7 linked regions of the Oryzias latipes genome follow. The protein of the gene in region 5 purifies or fractionates together with the protein of the main gene of each other region. This does not show direct contact. Links are inferred from orthologs where the notes say so. Each region holds a gene or a part of one and is shown on either strand. Other genes may lie near its edges. The genes, in order: cnot9, cnot11, mtcl1, washc5, capzb, cnot8 and CCR4-NOT transcription complex subunit 7.

Evidence for each region.
Region 1: the proteins of capzb (region 5) and cnot9 purify together in Homo sapiens (co-immunoprecipitation; 3 studies listed by BioGRID and IntAct, with this or other methods). This does not show direct contact. The link is inferred for Oryzias latipes from reciprocal best matches to the Homo sapiens genes CAPZB and CNOT9.
Region 2: the proteins of capzb (region 5) and cnot11 purify together in Homo sapiens (co-immunoprecipitation; 3 studies listed by BioGRID and IntAct, with this or other methods). This does not show direct contact. The link is inferred for Oryzias latipes from reciprocal best matches to the Homo sapiens genes CAPZB and CNOT11.
Region 3: the proteins of capzb (region 5) and mtcl1 purify together in Homo sapiens (co-immunoprecipitation; 3 studies listed by BioGRID and IntAct, with this or other methods). This does not show direct contact. The link is inferred for Oryzias latipes from reciprocal best matches to the Homo sapiens genes CAPZB and MTCL1.
Region 4: the proteins of capzb (region 5) and washc5 purify together in Homo sapiens (co-immunoprecipitation; 4 studies listed by BioGRID and IntAct, counting the BioPlex papers as one, with this or other methods). This does not show direct contact. The link is inferred for Oryzias latipes from reciprocal best matches to the Homo sapiens genes CAPZB and WASHC5.
Region 6: the proteins of capzb (region 5) and cnot8 purify together in Homo sapiens (co-immunoprecipitation; 3 studies listed by BioGRID and IntAct, with this or other methods). This does not show direct contact. The link is inferred for Oryzias latipes from reciprocal best matches to the Homo sapiens genes CAPZB and CNOT8.
Region 7: the proteins of capzb (region 5) and CCR4-NOT transcription complex subunit 7 purify together in Homo sapiens (co-immunoprecipitation; 3 studies listed by BioGRID and IntAct, with this or other methods). This does not show direct contact. The link is inferred for Oryzias latipes from reciprocal best matches to the Homo sapiens genes CAPZB and CNOT7.

The regions. Positions count from the first base shown.
Region 1 is NC_019879.2:16,425,501-16,429,547, forward strand, and holds the start of cnot9 (CCR4-NOT transcription complex subunit 9), read right to left. Parts: upstream 2,801-4,047; 5' UTR 2,441-2,800; coding exon 2,423-2,440; intron 1,951-2,422; coding exon 1,765-1,950; intron 1,621-1,764; coding exon 1,505-1,620; intron 1,078-1,504; coding exon 968-1,077; intron 841-967; coding exon 731-840; intron 539-730; coding exon 440-538; intron 1-439. Other genes in the region: usp37 (ubiquitin carboxyl-terminal hydrolase 37), read left to right, coding at 3,919-4,047. UniProt on the Homo sapiens protein: Component of the CCR4-NOT complex which is one of the major cellular mRNA deadenylases and is linked to various cellular processes including bulk mRNA degradation, miRNA-mediated repression, translational repression during translational initiation and general transcription regulation.
Region 2 is NC_019879.2:14,490,662-14,494,911, reverse strand, and holds cnot11 (CCR4-NOT transcription complex subunit 11), read right to left. Parts: upstream 2,801-4,250; coding exon 2,482-2,800; intron 2,403-2,481; coding exon 2,238-2,402; intron 2,167-2,237; coding exon 2,014-2,166; intron 1,692-2,013; coding exon 1,489-1,691; intron 1,105-1,488; coding exon 902-1,104; intron 787-901; coding exon 690-786; intron 605-689; coding exon 407-604; 3' UTR 100-406; downstream 1-99. UniProt on the Homo sapiens protein: Component of the CCR4-NOT complex which is one of the major cellular mRNA deadenylases and is linked to various cellular processes including bulk mRNA degradation, miRNA-mediated repression, translational repression during translational initiation and general transcription regulation.
Region 3 is NC_019875.2:4,684,046-4,687,545, forward strand, and holds part of mtcl1 (microtubule cross-linking factor 1), read left to right. Parts: intron 1-1,195; coding exon 1,196-1,450; intron 1,451-3,500. UniProt on the Homo sapiens protein: Microtubule-associated factor involved in the late phase of epithelial polarization and microtubule dynamics regulation.
Region 4 is NC_019874.2:13,940,617-13,944,116, reverse strand, and holds part of washc5 (WASH complex subunit 5), read right to left. Parts: coding exon 3,424-3,500; intron 3,335-3,423; coding exon 3,182-3,334; intron 3,080-3,181; coding exon 2,966-3,079; intron 1,722-2,965; coding exon 1,550-1,721; intron 1,339-1,549; coding exon 1,211-1,338; intron 930-1,210; coding exon 800-929; intron 673-799; coding exon 560-672; intron 345-559; coding exon 178-344; intron 1-177. UniProt on the Homo sapiens protein: Acts as a component of the WASH core complex that functions as a nucleation-promoting factor (NPF) at the surface of endosomes, where it recruits and activates the Arp2/3 complex to induce actin polymerization, playing a key role in the fission of tubules that serve as transport intermediates during endosome sorting.
Region 5 is NC_019863.2:2,090,747-2,094,853, reverse strand, and holds the start of capzb (F-actin-capping protein subunit beta), read right to left. Parts: upstream 2,801-4,107; 5' UTR 2,500-2,800; coding exon 2,497-2,499; intron 1-2,496. UniProt on the Homo sapiens protein: F-actin-capping proteins bind in a Ca(2+)-independent manner to the fast growing ends of actin filaments (barbed end) thereby blocking the exchange of subunits at these ends.
Region 6 is NC_019872.2:29,379,670-29,383,621, reverse strand, and holds the start of cnot8 (CCR4-NOT transcription complex subunit 8), read right to left. Parts: upstream 2,801-3,952; 5' UTR 2,702-2,800; exon of another isoform or gene 2,531-2,701; intron 1,800-2,530; 5' UTR 1,718-1,799; coding exon 1,601-1,717; intron 1,467-1,600; coding exon 1,273-1,466; intron 832-1,272; coding exon 670-831; intron 1-669. UniProt on the Homo sapiens protein: Has 3'-5' poly(A) exoribonuclease activity for synthetic poly(A) RNA substrate. Its function seems to be partially redundant with that of CNOT7.
Region 7 is NC_019868.2:26,784,432-26,788,481, forward strand, and holds the start of CCR4-NOT transcription complex subunit 7, read right to left. Parts: upstream 2,801-4,050; 5' UTR 2,599-2,800; exon of another isoform or gene 2,369-2,598; intron 2,199-2,368; 5' UTR 2,192-2,198; coding exon 2,075-2,191; intron 1,466-2,074; coding exon 1,272-1,465; intron 118-1,271; coding exon 1-117. UniProt on the Homo sapiens protein: Has 3'-5' poly(A) exoribonuclease activity for synthetic poly(A) RNA substrate. Its function seems to be partially redundant with that of CNOT8.

The sequences.
Region 1 (4,047 bases), on a different chromosome or scaffold from region 5:
TTGGGGGTATGTCACCCGGTGCATCTGGCGCGTCGGTGTTCCCCCTGCGCCTCAGTCACCACACCACTTAAAAGGGATTCCCCAATTATTACCGCCAGTCTCTCATCAAGAGAGGTCAGCTCAGGCTGTCATTGCCAACAAAGGGTTTTCCACCAAATATTAGTAATGACCATTTTGTTTTCAGTTATTTAATTTGTCCAATTACTTAGGAGCCCAAGAAATGAAGGGATTGTGTTTAAAAAATGCTTTAGTTTTTCACATTTTTATACAATCTTTTTGTTCAACCAAGGCTGAAAGTCTGCACTTCAATGGCATCTGAGTTGATCTGAGAGACACGTTAGAAAAAACGTGTCTCTGTCCAAATATTTATGGTCTTGACTGTACATCTTTATCACAACAATGCTATAGGTGCACAACACAAAAATCCTAAAATACTTACAAGAATCATGGCGACATGGGAAAAACGTTCATAAGTCTGACATATGTAAGCCAACCCAGTGTCATCCAGCAGGATCTTTTGCAGTATGAAAGTAGCAACCTGATAAAAAAAAAAGAATTATAGTCAATGGTAGAAACATGAGTTAAATTCATACCATAGATAAATGCATGAGAGTAGGTTTTAGAAAACCAAAACCCAAATCTGTTAACACATATTTTGAATGTTTGACTCCAAAATCCATTTTTTTCTTCCTGCTTGATAAAAACTGCTTTTGATTTCATTGGTAATTACCGTCTTGGAGAGTTCACTTCCAGATTCCATGATGCGAAGACAGAGTGGGATGATTTCCGTAGTAAGAAGGAAGTTTATCACTTCTTGTTCATCGGTTTTCACCAATGCACCTGTCAAGAACACACAAACAAATCAAGATCTGACATAAACAGAATTATCAGAGCAATACCTAAAAGAGAAGACTTTTTAAATTAAAAGTAAAATCAACAAAAACATGATCTCAGCAGGAGAAATTACCTATGACTCCTAGACTGGTAAGTCGCAGGTACTCAAATGGACGCGTTTTACTCACAGTGTGCAGAAAAGGGTAAAGGAAAAGAGGAATATGGGCAGCTAGAAATGCTGACCTGGTGTGGACAAAACAAATAAAATCATATTAATCAATGTAACACATTAAACCTTGCAAATGGAAATAAGTTCGTTTTTTTTTTTAAATTATAGTGAATTGAGGAATTACATAACAAAACCTTAATATTAAACAATTTATTTAGACCATGGCCTTAATAAAAATGAAAATACTATATTTATTATCTTTTAACCGCTTTAAACTGAAGATCTGCAAAGGCTAAATGCTGGAAAAATCCACTATTCTGTATGATGTATGTATTAAAAGTGACTGATGACTGTTACTTTTTAAACAAATAATAAACAAATAAATAAAACAGATTGTGGTCTGTTACCCCTTTAAAACATTATAAGAGCAGTTAATTATTAGAATTACTAAAAATAAAAAATAAAAATCTGATTTTTCAGTAACAATAACTATCTTGTTACCGTGTCTCTGGATGTGAGGCAACACACTGCAAAAGTGCCAGGGCATTACACACTCTATTTGACTGGTGGGCTGTAAGGGTTGGTGGGTTAATAGACGGATAGATGTTTACTATTTCCTGAAAAAAAAAAAAAGGAGGACAATTTAATTAACAAAAGGAGTTGTTTAACACCACTACAAAAATAAAGACCATACAAGAGGCACAGATGCACAAACAGTCCCAATGGGATGACCTGTGTCAAATGAACAGGTGGACCAATACCTGCAACAGGGCAGCAATGGTGCCACATGAATGCCAGAGCATTGGGGCCAAGTCTGGCACGGATTCTCGCTTCTTGCTGAGCTCCAGCAAAGCATTCTCTCTAGTCTCTGGACTGGACAACTCATTGATCCACTGGTAAATCTTCTCACGGTCTACTTGGGCCAGGGCTGTGACGTTGGTTACAGCCTTTGATAGGAAGAAAATATCAATCCATTCGCAATCAATTCTTTAAACAAGCAAACAAACGAAACACTCAAGAACAAAAACATTACGCTAATTAAGATATATGTAACCTACGTTTAATTTCCCCCTTCTGCAAACCCAAATCATGAAGAGGAAATGACAGCGTGTAAATTTGTTAAATGTCTGCTATGACAAATTGGGGCAAAATCAAATTATTTGTCAATTTAACTACAAAAACGTCTCATGATTTGCCAACTGCAATACATGTATACCAAAACCATACTGTACTACATTTGTACGAGGCTTTCATTAATATTATGCAGTCTTTCTTTGAAAACTGCAAAGAGAAGTTCTGCTTTAAAATTAATTCAATAAAGAAAGCTGAAATTTGGGAGGAAAAAAAAGATTTTCGATGTACTTAGGCGAAATTGGAGGGAACGTCACCGTGAGAGCGATGCAATAGTTTGATACTCACCGCTCCCGTTGCCAACATTTTGGAAAGCTTTTCGGGATCTCAAAATACTCTTTTAATAGAAAGTTCGTCAGTTTGCACCTCTTCGCAATACTCGACCCTGAAATCTCACCGTAAGAACCATGGACATATGCTTACGAACTGCTAGCTTAGCTAGTTGCTAGGTGCTCTAACAAATGGGATCCACAACATGCGTAACTTCACATAACTTCAATCGAAATCCCAACACTGAGAACTACAGAAGCACAAAAAGAAATTATTGTCGTTATAGTATCAATAAACCAAGTTTACACTGGCATTTTTTTCAATCTCGCGTTTGATTTTTTTTCCTCGGCAGGGACAACTTCGCTACAAACAACGTCTCAGATATCGCGAGAGGAGAACGGAGCGCAATCTCGTTCATCATTTCCGTTGTAAATGTTCCCATTCCCGCCATCATCGCCCGTTGCTGTGAGGCGTAGTGTGCTGCTCTACTTGCAGCAAACATACAGAACAGCAGGTGAATGCCGGCAAAACCTTTTTTATGCTCTCGAAGGATCTGCGAAGTCAAGTCCACATTCTATAGGTTTGGAACCACCACCGTGATCCTAGACAGGTAATGAAATGACGATGGCACTGAATGTGGTTGTTTTCATCACCAAATTACTGTGTTAGCTAGCTCCCGCTAGCTTAGGAACCAGTGTTGCTAATGTGGGCCTCTTCCATCATATTAAGCGTCTGTTAAAGAAACAAAAACGCCACTGCATGCTTCACATTTAATATTAGATTCATGTTATTCGACTAGTTCGTTGATAGACTGATATTTTTGTTTATATCGTTTGAATCTATGGTTCTGGCCGCGCCACGAGCATCACAACGCAGCTCAAAATGTGTTGCTTCTCCTCTGCAACATTGGAGTTGTCAGTGTTTGTTGTTTAAATGCAGGCTCTACACAAACATGTTTAAAACTAAAATTCAATGACCGTTCAGGATATGCAGTTTGTTATATTTTGTGATTTTTGTGGTGCAGTAATTCATATTGTACTGTTATGCTAACTTGTCACTTTGGATTATGAAGTCCTACCTTTTTCCTTTACTTCAAACCGCATTTGCCATGTTGGCTACGTATCTACATATCTCATATTAGTTTTGTTTCTGTATCTTTTATTTATTTATTATTATAATTTTGAATAACACATTTCAAGTTTTTAGCAAATGTTATTGTTGGCTACAAATTAAATCACTTATAATCTTCAGAATGGCACGTCGGTGCTGCATGTTCTGTAAAAAAAACAATATAGCAAACTAGTTACAAAAATACTAACTTCTTGTTATGTGGCATTTAGCAATGGTAAAAATATTCATTTAAACTGTTTATTTGGTTAAATAGCAATAGCAGTCATAAAAGTGAGGTTGTTTTTGCCATTATAGGCTACCCGTGTGACTATTTCTTGACATGTTTATTTCTTTTGTACATCTTAAATTCAGACCTAACAAGTGGACCATCAGGATAGCAAGCCATGTCAACTTTTGTGCCCAAACTCTCCAGTGGTAGCACTGTCAAGATTCGCTTTAACACCATTGAGCTGGGCGGCACCAAGTGGAAAGAGGGAACCTTTGAAATTTTGGAAAAGGATAACAGAGTTAAT
Region 2 (4,250 bases), on a different chromosome or scaffold from region 5:
ACTTTACCCTCAACATTTTTAAAAGCTAGAAAACTGGGAGCAGAAGAAAACGGTCAGAACTTGTGTCACGCTTTGCAAACATACAACTCTGCACACAAGAACCAAACACTCAACAATTTTATGGAGACAAAATAAGGAGTAAAACACTTTTGAGTTCAAATGTTTCACTGAGCTCCAGTAAATCTGCCGAAGTGATAGCAGCTTATGGAATTTCTGCAGCTTTGACTTAATGCAACATTTGATCACTCAGGAAATGACATCGAAAATAATACAAACTCGAGGGTTTAATAAAGAAAAAATTGATGAGTCAGTGACAAAGATCCTCCGCAGAGCTGCATATTTACAGCACGTCCTCTCATGACTGAGCTGTACGGCTCCCTGCTCCCTCTGATGTCAGGACTCCTGCTCATTTGATGGGCTTGGCCTCGGCCGGGTTCTCCCCAGTGTCCAGGGTCTTCAGAAGGCGGAAGAGGCCGGCCGCTTCACGGATGCGGCTGAACTCTATGCAGAAGGCCTGCACCTCGATGAACAGGTCCTGGACGTTGATGATCTTGTTTCGGATCAGCGACTGCAGGAAGACGCACACCAGCCGGACCAGGCGGTTCTGCAAGAATCAAGCGGGTTTTTATTCCAGAGGAAAACTCTTGAGCTCTCTTCAGCAGTTCACAGTTCCAAGAACGCGTGTTGACCTGCATGTATTTGTCTTTGATCTGCTCACACGTGGAGATGCAGTTGGAGATGTAGAGGTGGATGAATTCTGGAGGCAGATCCACAGCTGTGGTTAACCTGACGGAGGAGAGCAAACAACTCCATCACTTCCAAACTACAGAAACAGCACCAAACTGGAACCCAACTGGAGATTCGTTAACAGGTCTGAATACAGCCAAAGCCCCGCCCCCACCTGTTTACCACCTCCATGGAGTGCAGCGACATGTCCATGTTGACGAGCACTGAGAAATACTCTGTGATCTGGCTGCTCTGCATCAGTTTTAGCAGCATCTCGATGGCCACCAGTGGGTTGTTCTCCACCAGCTCAGGCAGCTTCACAGGCGTCAGGCCGATGTGATACACCAGCTTTGGGTCTTTCTCCAACTCAGCCAGCAGCTGCACACACGGCGAGGTCAATACAGAGGAGTGACAGCGGTGCACAGCAGTAGGAGTCAACGCCTCCACAAGAAATAATTTGTCTTTTAGGGAACGGACGATAAAGTTTTTGAGTGAAGGGAAAAATAAAGGTTGATTTTTTTTAAGACCACCAGAAAACTAATCCAGGAAGACAAAGGTTAAAAAAGAAACAAATACTTTTCCCACAAATTGTGTTTTTGTTTTGATAAATCTTGATTTAAAAATGAAAAAAGAGCAGATCTGAAGTTAAGTTTTTGTTTCTTTGCAAAGAACAGGAGTTCCTATTTTAAATAAAGTTTTTATTTTAACCCTGACTTTGCCTTTGTGTAAACCAAACATGTTGTTGATCAGCATCAGACCTACCTGGGACTGCTGCTGAGCCGACAGCGGACTCTTGAAGGCCTTGGCCATGATGCGTTTGATCTCCACGCCGGTGCTGTTCTTCACACACATTGACCGATCCCACTGGATGCAGTGGTCCGGCTCGGTGGGGTTCAGCCACGCCAGCTCATCTTCGCATGTGTGGAGCGGAGGCGTCGGCCGGATGAACTCGGGTCGAAAATGACCTGGGAGGGTTTTGAGAAACTGGTACTTACCATGCCTCATAGCAACACCTTCAGACAGACGGCCTTTGAACAAAGTCTAAATACTTTAATATAAAACTACTGAAAAATGACATAACTTCAGCAAAAACCTTCTAGACAGTCACTCAAACACTTTTTTTTTTAAAGTATCAGTTAAAGATCAATCGCACTCAACAGATCAGGTCGGCGCCGATCAACCTGTAACCGTGAGTTTTTGCTGAGGAGACGGCTACCATCTTTTCTGAGGAGATTCCTTCTTTCTTCCACAGATGTGATCACAGCTTGTGTGAAAAAAAGCACTTACTCTCCAGAGGAGGACGCAGCCCTGTGACCAGAGACTCAATGATCTGATTGGCCACAGAGCTGTCGAAGCCTGAGTTGGAGGAGTCTGGATCGGGGTCGTTGAGGATGCTGGGGAAGCTGGCTTTGCTCTGGGTGGGCAGCTCTGACTGGCGCTCTGCAAAAAGAGGGCTGGGATTGACGGCGTCTTCACCTGTGATGAGATGTTTCCTTACAACCTTCACTGACCTGCTAAAGGAAGCTGCAGCCCGCTGATGTCTATAGATGGGGGCATGTTGCTCACGTCCATGCAGGACACCTGTCTGGGGGTCTTTTTGAAGAGGTCTCTGGGCGGAGCCAGCATCAGCTGGGACAGGAAGAACTTCTCCGGCTGCGTGATGGGAGGAAGGAAGCCTGGACCCAACGAAACAGAGACTGAGCGGCTGCGGTTCTGATGAGACGTCGGGCTAAAGGTGAAAGGAAGCGGCCCTACCGGACAGGGCTTTCTCCTGCTCATCCCCGGAAGGTGCTGGGTTTAGCAGGTGCGCGAACACGGCGGCGAACGGGTTCGCGGCCAACGGCTCGGTTCGGTACATCTCCCAGAGCAGATAGAGGGCTGTGAGCCGCTGCGGAGAGCTGGGCAGCAGGTCCGGCTGCTGCAGCAGCATGACCAGAACCGAACCCACCTTGAAGTGGTCCGCCTTCCCAAAGTAATGATGGAAATGAGTGGAGAGGGTCTCGAAGCTGTTGTTGCAGGCCTCATCCGAGATTATGCTCAGCAGGTTGGACAGTTCCTTTGGAGCCAGAGTCATCGTTTCCCCGCCACAGTTCGATCGGATGCAGAGATTGACCGGGGTCCCTGATAAGTCTTTCTGTATAACTATAGCGGCGCTCTTACCCGCTTATTCATCTTTGAAGACGCAGAGTGGAGGACGGTGGCCCAGAAGTCATCTCGATTGAGATCCTATAACGCGGTTAGCATCAAGTTAGCCTAGCTTAAAAATAAGCTACAAAACCGGGAAACTCGTCAAAACATCAATCATCTTTTTAAAAATAATTATCCAAATAGATTAAATGAACGTATAACTTATCAATCGAACCAAAGAGTTACAAAAGATAATATTTCCAGGACTGAGAAAGAAATAAGACCCTGAATGGGATAGTGCTGCGAGCCATTAGCTTGAAGTATTTTTTAGTCGTATTTTCCGGTGAACTGCATCTTGGGTGATGTAGTTTTCTTCAGTTTCTCTCCAGTCCAGCAGGTGGAAATGGTATATGAATTATTCCTACCAAATAATCGTTCACATTTGTTTTATTTAAATAGATAGATAGAGAGGGAGAGGGAGAGAGAGAGAGTTAAGAGAAGGTAGAGATAGCAGTACTCTGCCTTTTAGGCTCAGGTAAGAGACCTAAATTAAAACCCATAAGTTAAAACGTTTTACTAGGGACTGAAATTTGAAGAACTTCTCTTATGTTCGTTTTAGGTGATGGTAATCCCTAGGTATGTTACACAGTGTTGGAGTACAATGTCTGTCACCATAGACGATCTCTGTCTGATTATGTTATTACGTAAGCATGCGCCAATTTTTTTTACGTGCAGTTGAAAATAAAAAGGAAGGCGCAGCCTCTCATCATAGTCAAGACGAAGTGAGTGGGGAGCTGCACTTCAGGTTCAGAATGAAATGTCTCCTGTGTCCATTATTTAAGAGTTAAGAAGCAAACACGGTTGTGTGTAACAGGGATGTCTTTAACGGCTTTGGCGTCGGGAGAGAGTTCCCGAGCGGCAAGAGAGACAACTGCTGCTGCTGGAGAGCCAACACACAGTTTCCATAATTTTTGGTGATAGTAATCCCTAGGTGTGTTACATGTATGTGATGGGAATTTTACATATGGATCGTGTTTTGTCAAATTTGATAGGTAGTTCTTCACATTTTTGATGTTAAGATGAAGTGCAGGGCCATTAGAAAAATCTTTTACTAGATTTAGGGCTCGGGGAATTTGACTGCCATCTTTAAAAAAAAAATGTTAATATTAATATCATCTGTATCTAGACGATCAAAAACAAGCCAGTATATGGCTAATATGTGACTGCCGGGAGATACTTTTGTTGCTCCATGTAAAACTTGATCTTGTTTGGATTCTTCTCTCCAAGGATCTTTTAAATGAAAACTTTGTATAAATTAAAGTAGTTCAGCATTAGGATTATTAGTTTGTAGTGGCCATCTATCCAGTCGACAATCTAACACCATATTCAGGTCTCCT
Region 3 (3,500 bases), on a different chromosome or scaffold from region 5:
CTTCATCTCAGACTCTACAGGCCTCATGCTGTGTGGAACCAGAAAATGTCATTTGGATCTGGAAAGAATACTTCTGGTCATCGTAAGACATTGTTGGAGGTTGTTCTTTGGGTTCCTTTTGTTTTGGACAAAGCTTCTGCTGCGTTAATCTGGCCTTTACAGAGGAAGCAAACGAAAATCTGCTTTCAGGCAGTCTGTAGTCACTGGTTTGAACCCCCAAGCTGCTGGCATAGAGAAAAACAAAAGCATTTCCTGCTCAGCCTGATTGAACCGTCATATGTTTTTACCTCTTTAAAGTCAGGAGACCCGGATTTCTGCCACCAGCAATGCAGAGAAAAACTGCTTCCAGTCAGACGCCGCAAAGACACAGTCCCTCTTGATGCGTCCTGTATCTTATAGAAGAAAAACTCTCATCTCTAAACCAATTAGGAGGCTTGAACTATAGACGGCAGATTATCTTTTCAACTCTCCGGCTTTTAATCCACGAGGCTCTTACATGCTTGAGTCCTTCAGCAGAGCAGAGTTCAGCGAGGGCTGCAGAGGGAACTAATGTGCTTAGTTTTGTCTGATAAGGCCATGTGGAGCCCTCTTCTTGCTCCACTCTGCTTCCCTCTGGTTATGCGCTCAGAAATGGGCTTCAGGAAGCCCATCAGAGCAGAGGACGTCTCTCCCAGCTCAGCATTTTTCTGCGTCTGGTGTTGGGTGGTTCAGCCTCACAGCCGCTGCTCATTCTTTTTAAAACCTGCTGGTGAAATGAACCTTTGTTTCCTTAAATGAAGGCATGCGTAGAAAAAGAATGGCTTGTTTGACAATGCATTTGAAATTTGGCTTAGACAACATTGAAATGACTGACAGTAGACCTGCTGCTACATTAAACAGGTTTGTAGTGGAAGACGTTTTTGTAAAACGCTTTCAAAATTTCATGGAAACATTTCCTGCTGGAGAATTTGGTCGTTTAATCAGGTTATTTGACTAGAAACTGAACAAATGTTCAAAATCATCAGCACCTCAGAGTCTAATAACATTTCTTTGGAGAACGACATGAACAAACTTGTAAAAGTGACCTTCTTGAGTTGGAAGTTGCTGCTGCTGATTTGACTTTGCCTTCATCTACAAACATGATAAATGAACAGACTCAGAGTGTCCTCTGTCATTTTTCACTGCAGTGACTCCTCTGTGTCTGTTGTTTGAGCAGCTGGAGGAGGAGGCCCGGGGCGAGGCGCAGGGGGGGGAGGTCGATCCGGAGCCCGAGCGGGCCTTGAAGCAGGAGCGCGAGGAGCATCGGCGCATTCTGGCCGAGAGCCACAGCACATCCCTGGACCTCCGCTGGAAGCTGCAGCACGGAGAGAAGAGGTGGAGCCGCGAGAGGACAGAGCTCCTGGAGCGCTTCAGCCGAGAGCGGCAGGAGTGGGAGAGCAGCATGAGGGAGCTGCACCGCAAGATGGAGAGGGTGAGAGAGGGCGGAGTTTCCGAAAAACAAGGAACATTCATCTTCTCATCATCTAACGGTGTTTCCTCGGGAAACTGTCCTGCATTTTTTTTAATCCCACCCTGCTACAACACGCCTGCCTCTGATGACTTGATGAATTGTCCGGCTTCTGCAGAGCCCGATGATGAATCAGGTGTGCATAGGCGGGGCAACATGGAAACCATGCAGGACGGTGTTTCCCGAAGACCAGGGTTGGGTAACACTGATCCAACAGCTTGTTTCAGTTTGTCGTCAATTCTGGAACTTTGGGTTTTGTTTCAGTGAAACTAATTTATAGAGGACTTATTCACGTTCCAAACAGAAAGGAATGTGAGGCTTCATTTACTCTGATGTAAAGGGTTTGAATGCAAATTGAAGCTTAATTTTCTTGATATATGTCGTCTATCATCAGAAAAATGCCACAAGAGTATGTTAGAAACACCCAAAACAGGATTTTCAGAGCAGCGCAGTAAAATGATGCTCTAAATTCAAGGCCGAGTCAGAAATAGTTCATGTATTTATTCAGATCAAATCTTCTGTAATGTTTTTGCTGCATAAACCTCAGCAGAAGGAAGAGAAAAAAGAAGGAAAAATTCCCAACTCCAAATTGAATCTGTTTCATTTTTAGCAGAGTACAGTAAAAACATCACTGTATTTGACTGCAACCATGCTCCTCATCTGTGCCTGATGGACAGGAAGCAGCCCCCCCAACCCCACCTCAACCACCATTACACAATACAGGTGTGAGGCTTTTGTTCACCCTTGTGCTATCTTAGATGACCCCCCCCTTACATTGACATGTTCTCCCTACCATGACAAAGGTGGATAAAGGTGGATAGATTTCATGTAATCCATGGACACCAGTGAAGATCACAAATCACTGAAGAAAAAAGATTCAGAGCACTGTCTAGTGGGTCTAGATGACCCAACTCCCAATGTTGAAGTGCCTAGGATAGCACAAGGGTCAAACACGAAGCAGAACAAACTTCTGATTTGTCACAGAGCACAGCCATCAGTGCAGAGGCAGGGATGCAGAGTTCAGCATTTAACTGCAGAAAACAATCAAGCAGACGACGCTCGGCTCAGAAACACTGAAAACGTTAGAACTGTGGTCTGGAGCAGGATGCTTACAGTGAATTATCTATAGTATTCTGGAAACTTTTGGGGAACTAAAAGGACTGATTGTTTGTTGAACATGAGATTTAACACAGAACCTGTTTCCGGTCCAGTTTAGAGGGCTGAAAGCTACAGAGAAGTTCATCGGATCTGCACTAAAACTGGATCCACTTTTGTTGACAAAAAAAAGTTTAGTGTTTATATATTTTAATAAAATCTATATTCCTGGCACAAGCGGCAAGATTAATGTCGATTTTACGGATGGTTTAAACTCTCAAAGAAAAAAGGAAAAACTGAATTTTCTCATTTCAGAGCCAATGGGTTGATGTCCCTCAGGGAAAAACGCAAACTTAGAGAAATGCTGTGTTCAAGTGGTGTTGGAAAGATCAGAAATATGACTGTCCAACTCGGAAAACATACATGAAAATTTTCAGAATCACTTTCTGCACCTAAACAATGTTTTTTTTGTGCCCTGTCTATGGAGAGACACCAGAATTACAGGGGAAATAATAAGGATCACCGATATAATTTATTCCAGATTAAACGGGCCGCATGTGGCCCCTGGCCTTAGTTTGCCCTCTCCTGGTGTAGTGGTTAGCACCTTTGCGTCACAGTGAGAAAGCCATGCTTCAAATCCATCCTGGGACCTTTCTGTGTGGAATCTGCATGTCTCTCTCGTGCATGTGTGGGTTTTCTCCAGTCTGACATGTTCAGGTTGTACCCCACCGTCACCCAACTGCATATGGGATAGGCTCGAGCAGCCCTGTGACCTCAGAAACGGATTCAATGGATTCTGAAGGATGGATGGATGGAATCTCTTAAAAACAGTTAATCTGTTTTCATTAAGACATTAACACTCTGTGAAAGTAATAGGGTTTCTGATTGAAGGGCGGACAAATTCGTGTTAAAGCTTCAG
Region 4 (3,500 bases), on a different chromosome or scaffold from region 5:
AGGAGGAACTTCTGATGAAACATACAGGAAAGAGTCACTGCTTTCTTTTGATGACACAAAAACACAGACTGTCTGAAGTGAATGAAAAAACAAAAACTCCTTTAAGACGTGTACACTTTCCTCTCCTTCTCCATCAGGCCGCATTCTAAACTCATCAGATGCAGCAGACTGACCCACCTGTCAATGATCTGCCACGCGTAGGACAGGTCTCCAACGATCTGCATGGTGATGAGGACTTCCTCTTTGATGTTGATGGTGCGGATCATGTGGTGGAGGAACTTTCTGGTGTCTGCCAAAAACTGGCACACCTGCAAGTTGGACTCCAGCTGGTGGAATTCCTGGACCTGAATTCAGAAGAGGGAAACCTTCTGATGATGGTTCTTTCTATTATCGTTTAGATTACTGCACGAAAGCTCTTCAAAAGACCAAGTTCACGGAACATTACAGGAGCAGAACTCCAACTGGGATATGTTTGGAAGCATTGCTTTGACTTATTAGTTCTACATGAGACCAAGTAGATAAGATAGGACTAACACACTGATGTGCTCATCTCTCTCACCTCAATGAGAGCCTGTATCAGCTGAACAGTCTTCCTCCCAGCAGCCGTGGAGTCTTCGTAGTTCAAAGACTCAATCTGCTTTGAGATTTCCCGAAACCACGCCTGCAGGTTCTCTGCAAAGAATGGCAAAGGAATGTAAAACACAGAAATAAGGACCATCAGGATCCATGTGTGGCTTGGGGCTTCAGGGATTCAACTAATGCGGAGCTGTCACTGAGTCCAGACATGAAAGTAGCTCACCGTTCTTCTCCACCCTCGTGAGAGGTTTGACGCCAGAGAAGACTTCGGCCAGCTCCATCATTCTCTCAGATCCCTCTTTTTTGTAGTTTTCCCACTTGATCTGTTTCTCTGACAGCATCTGCTTGAACATCTGGAAAGGGGGGGGGGGGGGGGGTGGCGGCACATATGCTTATGACAAAGGGTTCGTCAGCTGAGATGTGTAATTAGTCAGAACATTAATTTTGCTTCTTTTTCTACGGAGAATCCGGCGAGCCATATGCTACCTCACTGTAAGGGATTTGGCTACGACGCCAGACGGCTCTAACAGGAACCAGACTGATCAATTTCAGCATTGGCTCCCCACTTTAGCTTAAAAAAGGGAAGTTAGAGTCTCTTCCATTGGTCACATAGTGAGATTTCCACGGATCTCACCTCCTTAAGTGTGAACTCAAACTGAGCGGTGTCCAGCAGCAGTTGGAACAGAGTCTTTGGATTGTACTTGGAGTCGTTCAGCACTTGGTCTTTGATCTGACGAAGGCGCTTGTTGTTTGGGTCGTAGGCTGAAAAGCACAAATCAGGATTTAGTGGCAAAAACAATGACTTCTCTAAATTATTATTTATCATAAATGTATCAGGGGGAAAAGATCAAGTCTCAGAAAGTATAAGAAAGTGCATCTCCTTGACTTTAAATCTTCTAAAATATAAAAAGAAATTGTTTCTCCCCCGACATATCTTCTTGTTTTTTGGCTCCTATCTGCTCTTGATTCACACCTGACTCTGCAGAATGCAGCATCAGCCAGCGAATGGCGACATTGCAGTCTCTCAGAGAGTTGAGCAGTTTGGGAATGTTGTCCAAGATGATCTCCTCCCTGAGGAAACCTTCCTTCAGCAGCTGCTGCACCTGAGGCCTTAGGCTCTCCATGCTGGCTGCATATCGAGAAGCCTGCACAGAGGGAATGTGGAAAAAGTTCATCCTTAAAGACCCCCTCTGATCATCCTTTAAGCCATTTTAAAATCATTCCCGGCGGTCTTTTGATTATGATTATGCCGCTTTTGGCCCAAATCAAATAAACTTGTGTTACATAGTTTGTGCAGAGCAGCAGTAGTTCATTAGACATTCATCTCTGAGTTGTGGGCAGGACTGTGGGTGCAAAGCAACCTCATCCCCCCTTTTCCCTATTGCGGAGCGGAGCAGGGAGCATATGGGCCACACAGCGTATTTTCTACGTCACCAATACAATCTTTTTTAAAACAGCATTTTTTCATCTGCTCCTGATTCACAATGATTTGAATAAAGAAATATTCAGAAATAGTATTTTGAGCTTCGTTCTCTTTATATATGTCCTCTATCGTAAAAAAAAAAAATGCAACAACAACTTGTTAAAGACACCAAAAACACAGTTTTCATTGGAGTGAGTCCTTAACCGGAGCAAATTTTAGGAGAACAGAAATGGCCACACCTGAAAGAAGAAAGAAGATCTTTATTAATTTGGCATGAGGCCGCTTTGCAGGGACCTGTAAAGCTGTATTTGGCAACACACATTCAAGCGGCCACTTCCGATGAAAAGTTTGTGTAATCGCGCATGAATGTTCATTTTGGGCTTCTATGTTTAAAACTCAAGCGCTCAAGTTTTTACAAGTGTTTTCAGGCTCTACGTACGAAACGCGGGGCCACTGAACTCAAGTTGAAAGTGAAATCAGGTCGAACTTTGACCAATCGGGGTCTTGGTTCTGGTAATGGCGTATAGATGGCATCCCTGTTTATTCACAGAAGCGCCAACCGTTTGAAAATCAAACATGAAGGAGAAATTAAAAACAGCAGAAAATCTATGACACCAAGTCCTTCATATATCGGAATAGAGCAGTGAAAGACAAAGGCAGGAGTAAGATTAGCGAGATTTGCACCACTTGGACATTTCGCACCAAGCCTCTTCCATCTGTAGGTGGCGGACATGCGCTAGTAAACAGGAGAAAAAGAAAAACAAGAAGAGGATCCTCCCTTCTTGTCCAGTGTGATCACCATGGGCTTTACGTGCATTCAAGGATGAGCTAATAGCGAGTGCATAAACGTGCATCAAATGCCCAGTGTGTACGAAGCTTCACTCCCACTTAACTAACTTTAGAAAGGCACAAATACTGAAAAAGGCGCTACAAACTCTGAGAAAGGGGCTAAAGGATTTGTTATACCTGCTCCTTGATGTTAGCAGCGTCCAGTGTGTAGTTGAGAGCTGTCTTAGCAGCTTTGTATGGTTCCCAGGCCTCTATCAGATTCACAGTGATCCCCATGTAGATGCTGATCACCTACACACCCGACAACATGGAGAGTGGATGATAACAATGAAGCCTTCACTTTTCCAGAAAGAAAAAAACACGTGTTTTATCTAGTGACTCGGTTCCCGTTACCCAGTTATCAGGGAAATACTTGTCTACAATCTCCCTCATCTTGGCCTGCTGTGTCTGCAAGATGGAGGGGTAGAAGAACAGGCACACGTACAGCATGGCTGCCTGGTTAGCCAGAGCTGTGCTGCGATGCTCAGGAAGAGGATAGGCAGACACCTGAGGGGTACAAACAACACGGCGAGAGTCAACACCCAACCGGACATCAAAGAGTCAGCAAAAGGACAAATAGAGTCAGCATTTCTCACCTGGTTGTAGATGTCGTCTGAGCGCAGCCTCCCAATGACCATGCTGATGAAAGTGGTGCTGATGGGAACCCTCTGGA
Region 5 (4,107 bases):
GACTTAACCACAGTTTTTTTTTTTAAACACAGTGTTTAGATCACAAAAGGTGTATTTCTTCAAATTGGAAAAAAAACTTTAACTTAAGTGAACTGAAGAGGCCATGAGGCGACATAAATAACTCACATGTGGATGCAGTTCTCTGCACATAAACATTCCTCACAGGCTAGTCTGTGTTGATACAGCAGATCAGATTGATGCTAAAAACTGAAACGCTAAATGTGTTTTAACTGTGACAAATGACAACTAGAAAAGGTTTTATAACCCATCTTATTACAAATAATTTAGAAACGTGTCACAAAAAACGGTTTCTTAGTTCCACCGTTTGTCTTTTACATCTATTTCTACTCATTTCTTTTGTTGAATATTCTTCTGCCCAGAGTTAAAAAGGATCAAATGTGTACAAACTGTACAAATGTTGTGCTGCATCAGCTATCAGATCGAACGACGACGACCTGTTTGAGTGCAGAAAATCTTTCCCTCCATAAATCATTCCTTAAGAGTCTGAAAAAAACGTCTCCGGGGAGCAATTTCTCCACCTCTGAGTCACTTGTTTGGCTCCATCTTTAAGCCTCTTTTAGCTGATCTTAATCTGCATCATCAGTCACCTCCGTTCCTCGCACGTTTCTGTGTAAATACTAGCTCAAGCCAACAGGCCCCGGGGTCATGGGAGACTAGCAAGGCAGGACGGTCAGGATTATGACCGAGGCTCAGAGAAAAGGCGACTCCAGAGAAACAACATCTGCTGCTCCTGCTTTCAGCCACGCAGGACAGAGATGGGAGCTCAAAACCTGAACAAAAACCAAATTTCAAAAAGTCAAAAACAAATATGTCTTCAAAGCTGGACTCTGGGTTTCCTCTATCGTTAATCTCCACCTGAGTTATTGTTTCTGCGTCACTGTCTGCTTCCTCATACAAACTATGAATATTAGAGAAACATCCACGGCTCCAGAAACAGAAAACTGTTAGGAAGTTACTAAAGATTCATGTGACATTTGAAAAGTCCAACAGTCACCAAGCAAAAACCGGCTTTCAAGTCAGACTTCTGTAATATATTCTAAACAGTCAAATAACTTTGATTATGGTAGGTTTATGTTTTGGTTCTGCGCAATTTAGAAACAAAGTGGACAGAAATGGCTGGGAAGACAGAAAGTTGTCTAAAACACCTGCAGAGGCTAAATGTTTGGAGACATTACAACGGATAAGAATGAACAGTTTGTCATGTCAAACTCAGTTTTGTGAGACAACCTTTCAAACTAAAACGTAACAACAAACCTTTTGTTTATCAGGTCTTTATGGGACTAACAGACGATAGAAAAGTCCTTAGTTTTTGTTCTTTCGAAAGGTTTCAGGAAGTTCAAACAATATCAGGACACAAACAAATGTTCACCCAGTTGTGTTATAATTATTTAGATTTTATTAGAAATACCAAATGAAAATCATTAGCCTGTATTGAAACATGAAACTCATGATGCGAACAAATTCTTATTTTGGCGTAAAACTAATCAAATTCTTTGACATTCACAACATTTGTCTTATGTTTATAATAAATGAATTATAGTTCAAATGCTTTGAACATTTGTATTTTTTTTTTTTTTTTTACAAAACAACCTAAAGTGTTTAAAGTGGCGGCTGGCCTCTATTGATTATGCTGCACCTTTCCATCCTCACTATGGACTGATGTGCTTTTATTTGTTCAGACAAAAGCTTTCTGGTAGATTTTGATGAACAAATTCAATTTTCTTTTTAAAAATCTTCCCTAAAATCAGTTTGAAGCTCTTAAGTGAAAACTGTCTAAACAAATTTGGTTTTAGAAGGTAATCTAGAAAAAATGTATGAATATTTGAGTAGAATTGAACATCTAATGCTGCATTTTATTCATCTTTTAAATAACTGTTGGTAGTTTGGCAGTGATGTCTGGCTCTTCTGACCTAAATGAGAACAATAACATTAGTTTAACTCAAACGTCAACATTGATTTGTGGCATTTCTTGTTGGGGTAAATGTCTTCTTTCCTTTAGGAAGTCATGACTCCCCAAGCAGGAAACCCAGCAGCAGCAGCAGCAGCAGCAGAGGCAGTCGGTCAGCCCGTCACGGTCAGGAATACGAGCAGCGAGTCTTATTTTAGCGACAGCCGCCTCCTAGATCAACCAGTTTCAATGTCTGCTATATTTGGGGTCTTGGATACTGCTGCTAGCAAACTTGTGTCAAATCCAAAACATCCTGTGCTAACTTTAAGCCTAGCCTAGCAGGTAGCCCGAGTAACAGTTAGCTAACACCTAAACATGCTAGAAGAGACGGGCAAACCGTCCATGAACAGCGGTCCTAGTTTATTTACTCTCCTCATTACGGTTGGATGCCTCTGTGATTTTTATTTTTATTCCTCTCATGTTACCACTGCTCGCTTGTCGTAGCACCTGAAGGCGTATAGTTAGCCGCAGCCCCTCCAAAACCCTTCCCCGTCTCTCCCACCAGCTCCGCCGCGGCCCTTACTCACCATGTCTGCGGCGGTCTCAGCGGGGCAGGGGGGCACGATCCACAGATGCCGGTACGCGCTAGGTTCGCTTTTAATTTACCAACTCGTCCTTTTCGCTTTTTGTGGTTTTTATTTGTATTTTAGTCCCCTGCGGAAGATGTTTTCTTCGCCTCTCCCTCAGTGAACCCAGCCCTGTCAGCGAAATTTACTTCCTCAACCGGGCTACAGGAAGGAGGCCACGGCGAGAAAACAGGCCTCGCTTTGCACATCCGGGTCACTCCGGGCTGTCTCAGCAGCAGCCAATAGCAGCAGAGCAAAAGAGGTATTGCCAAGTATGGAAAGAGAGGAGTGGAGGTGTAAGTATGCAGCCGGAGAGGGCGGAAGACACTTTGCTGCAAAGACAGTATAGCATCGGTCTATAGGAAGAAGTTAAAAGCATTGCTCTTGTAAATAGATAATTAGGAAGTTATGCTGGCAGTTTGTCTGTTTGAGCTTTGGGACTGCAACCGTTTTTAATGTGTTCCCTTTATTTTGACCTCCAGGACATCACTGCCAAATCTTCCTGTGTTTTATTTGTGGGAGTGTGCAATTAAATGCATATGATTGGTGTCTCCATTAGTTGTTTTAAAAGTACATTTTGTGACAGTCCAACTGTCATTATGAGTTGTAAAACTTAGGAGTTGACTTAAATTTGCAGTCAGACTTCAATGTAGATAAACTTGTGACAAAAGGCTGGACTAGTCTTGGCATTTCCTCAGCATTTAGGAAATGTTTTCAATATTAAAAAAAGCTAAACATAGACAAGAGTAGTATTTATGTCCTCCGCTTTTCTGACGTTAAAATGAATTTAGGTCGTGTTCAGGGCCTCAAGAAAGGCAACATGTTTTCCACAGTTATTTACATTTGCAATCAGCTTTAATGAAGAGGTCCTTCTTTTCTTCATGCCACCCTTTAGCACAAATATATCTATTTAAGTGTACTACAAGTCGATGCTAAAAGTGAGGCAGTATACTTGAAGTTTACTTTTCATAAAGGTACTATCTATTTATTGCAAACTTAGGATGTTCCAATTTAGTCTAAAGAAATGTTTCTACTCTTCCCGGTCTATGGTAGCTATACATACTTTAGTTATATTTAAGTATACTTCATACAATAAACTGTACTTTTTCCCAGGGGACGCTAACATACGTTAAAACATTTGAAATTGTGCATGAATTCCTGTCGAAGAATTTGGGCAGTATAAGGTTCAGCATTAGACTGGTTGTTATAGGAATTTTTTATGCTTGTTTTTGTATAATAAATCCTAAATTTTTATTTTACAAATTTTTCCTAATTTTGTTGGTTTAATTTTCTTATGACCAGCTGGTGCCTAAAAGGAAGACCTGAACGTAAATTATGGAGACAAAATAACATTTCTCTCTTGCAAAATTTTTAAATAGTCCTCACATTGAGAGTATGAGAGGTACAGAGATTAGGAAGAAAAAGAAATTCACAATAAAACTGAGGAATGGGAAGAAAAAAACATAATTCTAGAATGAAGAGTAGCTACTTTTTCTATTTTTGCACATTTTGAGCACCCCTTCAGTCTTTTGCACATTGCTGTCATTCTTCTTTTTAACTGCTGTAGCAATT
Region 6 (3,952 bases), on a different chromosome or scaffold from region 5:
ATAATCTTGAACGTCATCTACATTATATCGTCTAAGAAACATCAGCAGAACCAAAGAGGACTAAGATACCAGTTTATTGTGGAGTTTGTCTCCAGCAGGTCAGACTGCTGTAACGTCTGGACCCAGAAAAGAAGCAGCAGTTCATCCAGAACGCTGCTGCTCCGCTTCTGATTTTGACCATCAGTCCCGAGGTCACACAACAGCCTTTCAAATAGTTCTGCTTCTGTTCAAGTCTCTTCATGCTTTAGCATCAGAGATCATATTTGGAATGAACCAGAGGCAGAACTTTAACTGGAGCTCAGAATTCAGCTCCATGCAGCTAATCTCTGAAATTTCTCCCTGAAGATCCCAGAGAAGTTTTTCCTCTGACAAGGATTAAGTTCAGAGTAAAAGAGATGTTTTTGACCTGCTTACATTGTTTTATCTGGATCTCTATTCTGGTGTTAACCCATAAGTACCCAGACCCATTTGTTGTTTAAAATAAAGTGCATATTTTAACCACAAACCAAATGGACCAAAGAATCCATTTCTGATATTTTCTGTTACACTGACGTCACCGTGGGTTCTACTGGGTTAAAGTGATTTTAATTATATTTTATGATTTCTGAAAGATCAAACAGAAGACCCCCTCCCACCCCCGTTCATGGAACAAGCCAGCAGACAACCGACCTGTGGAAGGACAGCCACTTGACGTTCTCACACAGAACCAGACCCGACGTCATGAGGAGCTCGGCGAAGTACAGCGTGTCGATTCCTTCTTCTTCGTGTTTTTTGAACTGCAGACCCGAGTTCTGGAGCAGGTCTATGGAGTCCTGGGAGTACATATCCTCACTGCACACAACGTTAGAGAACATCAAGGATCATTTCAGGACTTGATCATCTTATTTCACTAGAAAACCTGTGAACCTTTCACTTTTCAGAGATTTATGAAAAGGAGTAAACAAAAATGTAAATCAACCTTTTTTTAATTATTAAAATACATCTAATAAAAAAAAAAAAGTAAAAAGTTCATGCAGTTTAACACCACAGTAGAACAGCTGAGGCACAAACTTCTGTGTGAAATACTGTCTCCTAGTGGAGAAGTGGCTCATTGCATCTTTCACAGCCTGTTTAAGGCTTACGTACTGGAGTTTAATTTACAGGCGTCTCTGTTTATGTTTTTTATTATTTTTAAAGACTGTTGTCATCATAGCACATAAGTGGCTTAGGCTGCCAGCAGGTTGACAGGAAGCAGCGAACGTTTTCAGTCCCATGAGACGACGAAGCACCTACGTCAGGTTGAACTTGAAGTTGAATTGCCACGTGGTCGTGCCGGGGGGGTAATCCCCATCCTCGTTCATGAATGTGAGACCAAGCTGGATGATCTTCAGCAGATCCACGTTGCACCGCAGCAGCTGGTACTGGTAATCTACCGTACTGCGAAACTCGCCTATGGGTCGGACCACGACTCCGGGAAACTCCGTGTCCTAAGACACAGAAATGCAGGGTTAGGACACTCCAGGAAAGGAAGAGACTAGCACACATTTGCAATCACCACATTTACGTTCTTTGTTTTTCTTTTTAGAATTCAACTGTCAACAAAGAAAGGAGAGCCTGTAACCATGGCAACGTAGTTGTAGCTTTGGATAATTTGCCGTATCTTCCTCATCTCTTCCCCCACGTTGCTCGCCCAGACTTCACAGATCATCTGGCTGGAATCTTGAAGAGCAGCTGGCATGTTGGCAGGTTCCTAGGAGACCCGACGGTCCTGCAGGGCTTCAAGGGGGGGTGGGAAGGGGGACCGTGCAACAAAAAAAGAACTGCGAAAGGAGATTTAGAAAAAACGTACTTAAATCTCAGAGTAATGCCGTCAAATCATCACAAGTATACAACATAAAAATAGGGAATCTTTGGAAGCTGAGCATCTAATAAGAGTCTACTTAATTTATTCAAAAGTTACCCAGTCATGATGGCATCATTTACTGATCTAAGGTCAAATGCAGGGTCAAACCGTGTCTTTACTCTGTCCTGCTTTGACCCCTTAACAATTGTTTCCCTGTTTCACAGCATCAATTTGATTCAAAATGCTATTGATAGATTGAAGACTAACTGCTTTCTGTATGTAATAATCCACCAAGTAGTCTTGGGTGTCACCATATATTTGGTTTAAAAAAAAAATCAGTTCAACAGCAGCACTGAAAGTTACATGGTAAAATGACGTTTCTGTAGTCTGTAACTGGGATTTTTACAGTCTACCTGACGCGTTTCCACATAGATCTTTATATATAATGAAAGTACACGCTGTATGGAGGCTCTCAAAACGAGCAAAAACTAACAATAAAAATAGAAACAACAAAGAACAGCATTAAAAAAACGCTGTTGTTGCCATGACAGCCGACTCCGTACTGACTGTAGTGCGGAACTGGCTTTACTAATTTAACTTCAGCCGAAATACAAATATAAAACCGATATTTTCAATCATTCTAACACTATAAATAAAACAAATATACTTTAAAATTGTTCTTAAGCAGAAAAGAAAATGAAAACAAACCGTGATCGATGCTAACAGTTAGCATAGACGTTAATATTCGCGCGCGGTCAAGTTGCAGAGATGACGCAGCATTGAAGAATAAATAAATGACGTGGCCCTGTTAAAGTGTTTAATCTGACTGAAGCTGCCCGGGAAAAAAAATGTAGTCGTTTAATTAGGTAACCGGTTTACCTTAAAATTCCCTCGACACAACGCTGTCGTCTGCTTCCTTCATTTCCTACCGTCTCACTTCCGGTTTGGAGTGGACTATAAACGTGCACACTGCCCCCTGCCGGTCCGGAGCGGAAGCTCCACAACGCTACTTCATTTGTTGACATCCATCCATTAAATAAAAATGTATGACTTATCTTTACATTTTTTTGTTACTTAAATATATTCATATGTCAAATTCATATTAACTACTTCAACACAAATTTTTTCCTAAAGGCCCTCATCCATGCAGTAAATGGGTCATTCATTGTACCTTTTTAATAAATTATAGGAATAATCATAATAAAAATGTCAGAAATACAAAAAAAAACACTATTTAAAAAAAAGTTTGTAAACTGAAAACAATAAACCCAAATATGTAACTAAAATGCCAAGCAGAGAACACATTAGAATAAACATTATTTATCAAACTATATGATGGTTATATTGTGCAGGACTCAACCATGATAACCTTTGTAACGGTTCCAATACACATATAATTAAAATGTAAATATGAATTTAGTTTAACATATGAAAGACAGCATGAGACATGTAGGTATATCATGTTTTTGTTTGAATATCAACATTTCATTGAAACATTCATTACTCCTTGTGTTTTACAGGTATTTTCATGTGAAACTGTATTTTTAATGTATAAACGAATGTGTATTTCTTTCCCCAAACACGCATCTGCTGAGCGACGCGGAAACCTAGATGAGGTAAAAAATGGTGAAAGAGCAGCTGCTGCACATGCTGCTCCCTCTGTAGTTCCCTCTGTAGACCATGTGATACCAATGACCATGAAAGGAAAAGATTTGACAAAAAGTCACAGGAAACTAATGAAAAACAGCGTTCAAATCGGTCCATCCGAACCCTTTTATTTTACATTTTTACACAATTGAATGAAGTGAGTTTCAGTCCTCCACAGAAACATCATGTTTAGCACAGAAACAGCTGCAGCTTTAAGGGAAAAACACAGAAGAACAACTTCATAATAAAGTAAAACAACAGCAGGGGATTAAAAATAAGGAAAATTATTAAAAAGAGGGTGTGGCTTTGAAGGCCACCTTGCAGGTGAAGCTGCTTCTGCTTCGTCAACGCAAAGTGACTGCAGAAGCTTCTTTATTGATTAGTAGTAAAATGACTTCTGTCTGCTACCGCCTGGGGGCAGAACCCATCCTCCCACGGGACCCCACCCCTCCATGTAGCACTAAGCCTTGGTGGAGGTTACAA
Region 7 (4,050 bases), on a different chromosome or scaffold from region 5:
GATGTCATCAGCAGCTCTGCAAAGAACAGCGTCTCGATGCCTTCTTCCTCGTGCTTCTTGAACTGAATTCCTGAAGTGGTCAGGAGCTCGATGGAGTCCTGCGCGTACATGTCCTCTCTGGTTAAAACAATAAATACATAAATGAAATAAATAAATAAAACACATCTCTGTTTCTAAGCTTCACGCTTTCATTCCAAAAAAACAACAAACAAAACGCCACAGAATAACCATTAAAAAACTTAAACTTTGTAGGTTTGCTCAGCAAAGAGGGAAACCTTCAAAAAAAAACTTAAGGCAGGAATAGATCGACTAGGATCTGACTGGATGCTGGAAAAAGTGCAAATTCTTCCATTTGGGAACGATGGACAGAATAACGCTTGACTTTGAAAAGCATCGTTGAACCCACGGGGGACCAATCGTGTGAGAAGGGATGAAAGCGCCGCTCTTATTCTGAAAGACAAATGCTTCTCCTGTAAGCCCCGCCTCCTCCGTCCCAGAACATCCACCATGGATTTCTCCAAGAATCTTTAGATGTTTTACATGATTCACAAAACAAACATAACTTAAAATTTTTTTTAAAAAGCCACCCAAGCTTACGTAAAAAAAGTAAAAAAAAACCCCATCTGTTTAACAATAAAAAACAATTAAAAAAACACCTGTGCTTCCTATTTAGAGCATGCATTATTGCTATTTTTTTCATTAATTACTTGTATTTTTCAGGCAGCTTTGATCTGTTTTTTTTTTTTTAAATATAAAAACTCCTATTTTCATTCAGGATGCTTTCTCTTCGATTAATTTAAATCCCCTTTGTGCGCCTACCCCCTCTGATAAAAAAAATGTAAGTTGTGTTTTTGGAGGGCTTAACATGTGGTGGTGGTTTTTTTTTTTGATGATACATAAAGAAAATTAACCTTCGTCTTCCTCGTCTGAGCTGGCTCGCCCTTTTTGTTGCACCGGTCAATATCAGGTCAGGCGGTATGAGGGGGCTGTAAGCTACCGGGAGATTGTGTAAACAGAGAGCTCTCAGCAACAAGGAAGGAGAATAAAGGGTAGAAACTGCAGAAACTATATCCAGGAAAATGACAACTTTTTTTTGTGTGTGGCTAAAATACGGAATAACCATAATTTAAATCTGATTGGGAATGCTTTTAAAATAGATCAAAGGCATATAGGACTTTAATGTGTTTTGAATTGAATTGTTTTTACAGATTGTGAAGTCGTTCATGGGAATCCAAGCGGACGAGTCTGTTTAGACATAGTGAGAGACTCACGTGAGGCTAAACTTAAAGTTGAACTGCCACGTTGACGTCCCGGGGGGGTACTCTCCCTGCTCGTTCATGAAGGTCAGGCCCAGCTGGATGATCTTCAGCAGGTCCACGTTGCAGCGCAGCAACTGGTACTGATAGTCGGCATTGCTCCGGAACTCTCCGATGGGTCGGGCTACAACTCCTGGAAACTCTGTGTCCTGAAAGAGGCAAGAACGAGGGACCGTGGACACCAGTGACAGTGGGTGGGTGGGAGGATGGATAGATGGATGGATGGATGGATGGGTGGGTGGGTGGGTGGGTGGATGGATGGATGGATCGATGGTTGGGTAGGTGGATGGATGGATGGGTGGGTGGATGGATGGATGGATGGGTGGGTGGATGGATGGGTGGGTGGATGGGTGGGTGGGTGGGTGGATGGATGGATGGGTGGGTGGATGGGTGGATGGGTGGGTGGATGGATGGATGGGTGGATCGATGGTTGGGTAGGTGGATGGATGGATGGATGGATGGATGGGTGGGTGGGTAGATGGATGGATGGATGGATGGATGGGTGGATGGGTGGGTGGGTGGATGGATGGGTGGGTGGATGGGTGGATGGGTGGGTGGATAGGTGGATGGATGGATAGGTGGATGGATGGATGGATAGGTGGATGGATAGGTGGATGGATGGGTGGGTGGATGGGTGGGTGGATAGGTGGGTAGGTGGATGGATGGATGGGTGGATGGATGGATGGATGGGTGGATGGATGGATAGGTGGGTGGATGGATAGGTGGATGGATGGGTGGGGTCTCTGAGCATCTCTCACCATTGCGATGTAGTTGTACTTTCGGATGACGTGCCGGATTCTCTTGAGCTCCTCTTCCAGGTTACTGGCCCAGACCTCACATATTCTTTGGCTGTGGTCTACAGTGGCTGCGGGCATAGTGCCACTTCACCACGCGTGGAGATGGGGGGCGGGGGATGATGAGAGCATCATGAAAACACAGACAAAGCAGCCGAAACCACATGAAAAGAGCCGCTTAGTTAGTAGTAGAAGTCATGTGTGTTTTAGCCGCCTGCTAGCTCGTAATTTAAAGCAGCACTGTTGCTAGCTTGTTACCTGTTAACAGTTAGCGGGTTGGAGGTAAAACTTCCGAACAAGAGGAGTGGCGACTGTGCGGTTTTCTCACACAAAACATTAGTTTCGATCAACTACACAGGAGTGGTTGTACAACAGGACAGGCACGAGTAAGTAGCAGCAGTGCGCGCGCGCGCACACACGCCGGGGCGTCACTTCTTTTCTTTTTTTTTTTTTTGGGAGACTGCAAAGGTTTTGTTTCGTTGACTCACCGTTCCCCGAAACGGGCGCGCGCGTGTTTGAGCGTGTGCTATCTGAAAGCTGGCCGTGTGTTCTGTGATATCTGTCAGCAGGGAGGGGAGGGGGGTGTTCCGCCAACTTTGAAATACTTTTATATTCAGTGGGGCTTGATGTCAACCTACGGCTGCCATCACAGCGGACCCCACACAGTGACGTCATTACGTAAAGTGAAACGTCAGGACGTAAGGACGTTTCAGGATCCTCATCCGTAAAATGTGAAAAAAGGTTTTCCAATAAATGTTTGTAAAGAGGAATATATAAATTTTAAAAAGTACAAATAAACGTTATATATTTCTTATTAATTACTAATTTATTCAAGGTGAACAGGCTCTCGTTGAAAGTGTATATATAATTATTTTCAAAGGATATATTATTTTTAAAAATTATACTGTACAGATTTTTTTTATTTTTTCACAAAATATATTTTCTTTTCAATTTATATTAAAGTAAAATAAACTTTTTTTTGCCCCTAAAGTTATATTATTTTGGTAAATTACTGAAAAAGTTTTACACAAATAAAAATGTTAGCCATGAAACCAAAAAGGCCACATTTTAAATTCAAGTAAAACATGATGCAGAGATAAATTCGTTTTTCAAATCACTTGTTTTAATAAAAAAGTACAATTTTCACAGACGCATCATAATCCAACGTTCGCATTTTTGTTGATTTTGATCATTTTATGACCACTCTAAGATGAAAAAAAAGAATGCATATGATTGACATCTTTAAGGGAAACATTTTCAACAAATATGGACTAGAGGACATTTAGGGTGAAAAAGATTTTACCTTTAACTTTTATTGTTGAACACAAACCCTCAATAACCAATATGTTGTGTAAATGCCCTTATAATTTTTCATACCTTATGTAATTTTTGTAATGTTTAATTTTTTTCTATGTTATCTGTATTTCATTCTTTTTCTTTTTCTTTGACCTTTAACCCCTCATCCCGTAAGTTAGTAATTCATAACATTTCATTTTCTCCAGCACTTCATTCACAAAGGAAGTTTTTTCAACATTGAGAATAAATTCGGGCATGAAGTATTTTACACAGCTGCAAAAATGATGACACCAGTGGTTCTTTTTGTGATGCCAAACCTGAAACTATGACCCACATTTTCTTGATTTGTACACATCCTCAGGTAGGATGTGTACTTTTTAAAACAAAATAATTTATTTATAAACATATTGTTGCTTCACTTCCTCATCTTCTATTTATTTGCAACACAAAGACAAAATGGGACAATCTCCCACTATGTAATTTTTTCTAAAATAAAAAAAATCAGTGGCTAATATAAGATTACAAAAAAATCGTTTTTAGTAAATATTATTGCATTTAGGCTGCACGGTGGCGCAGTGGTTAGCGCTCTTGCCTCACAGCAAGAAGGCCCCCGGTTCAAGTCCCGGCTGGGGGACGTGAAAAAC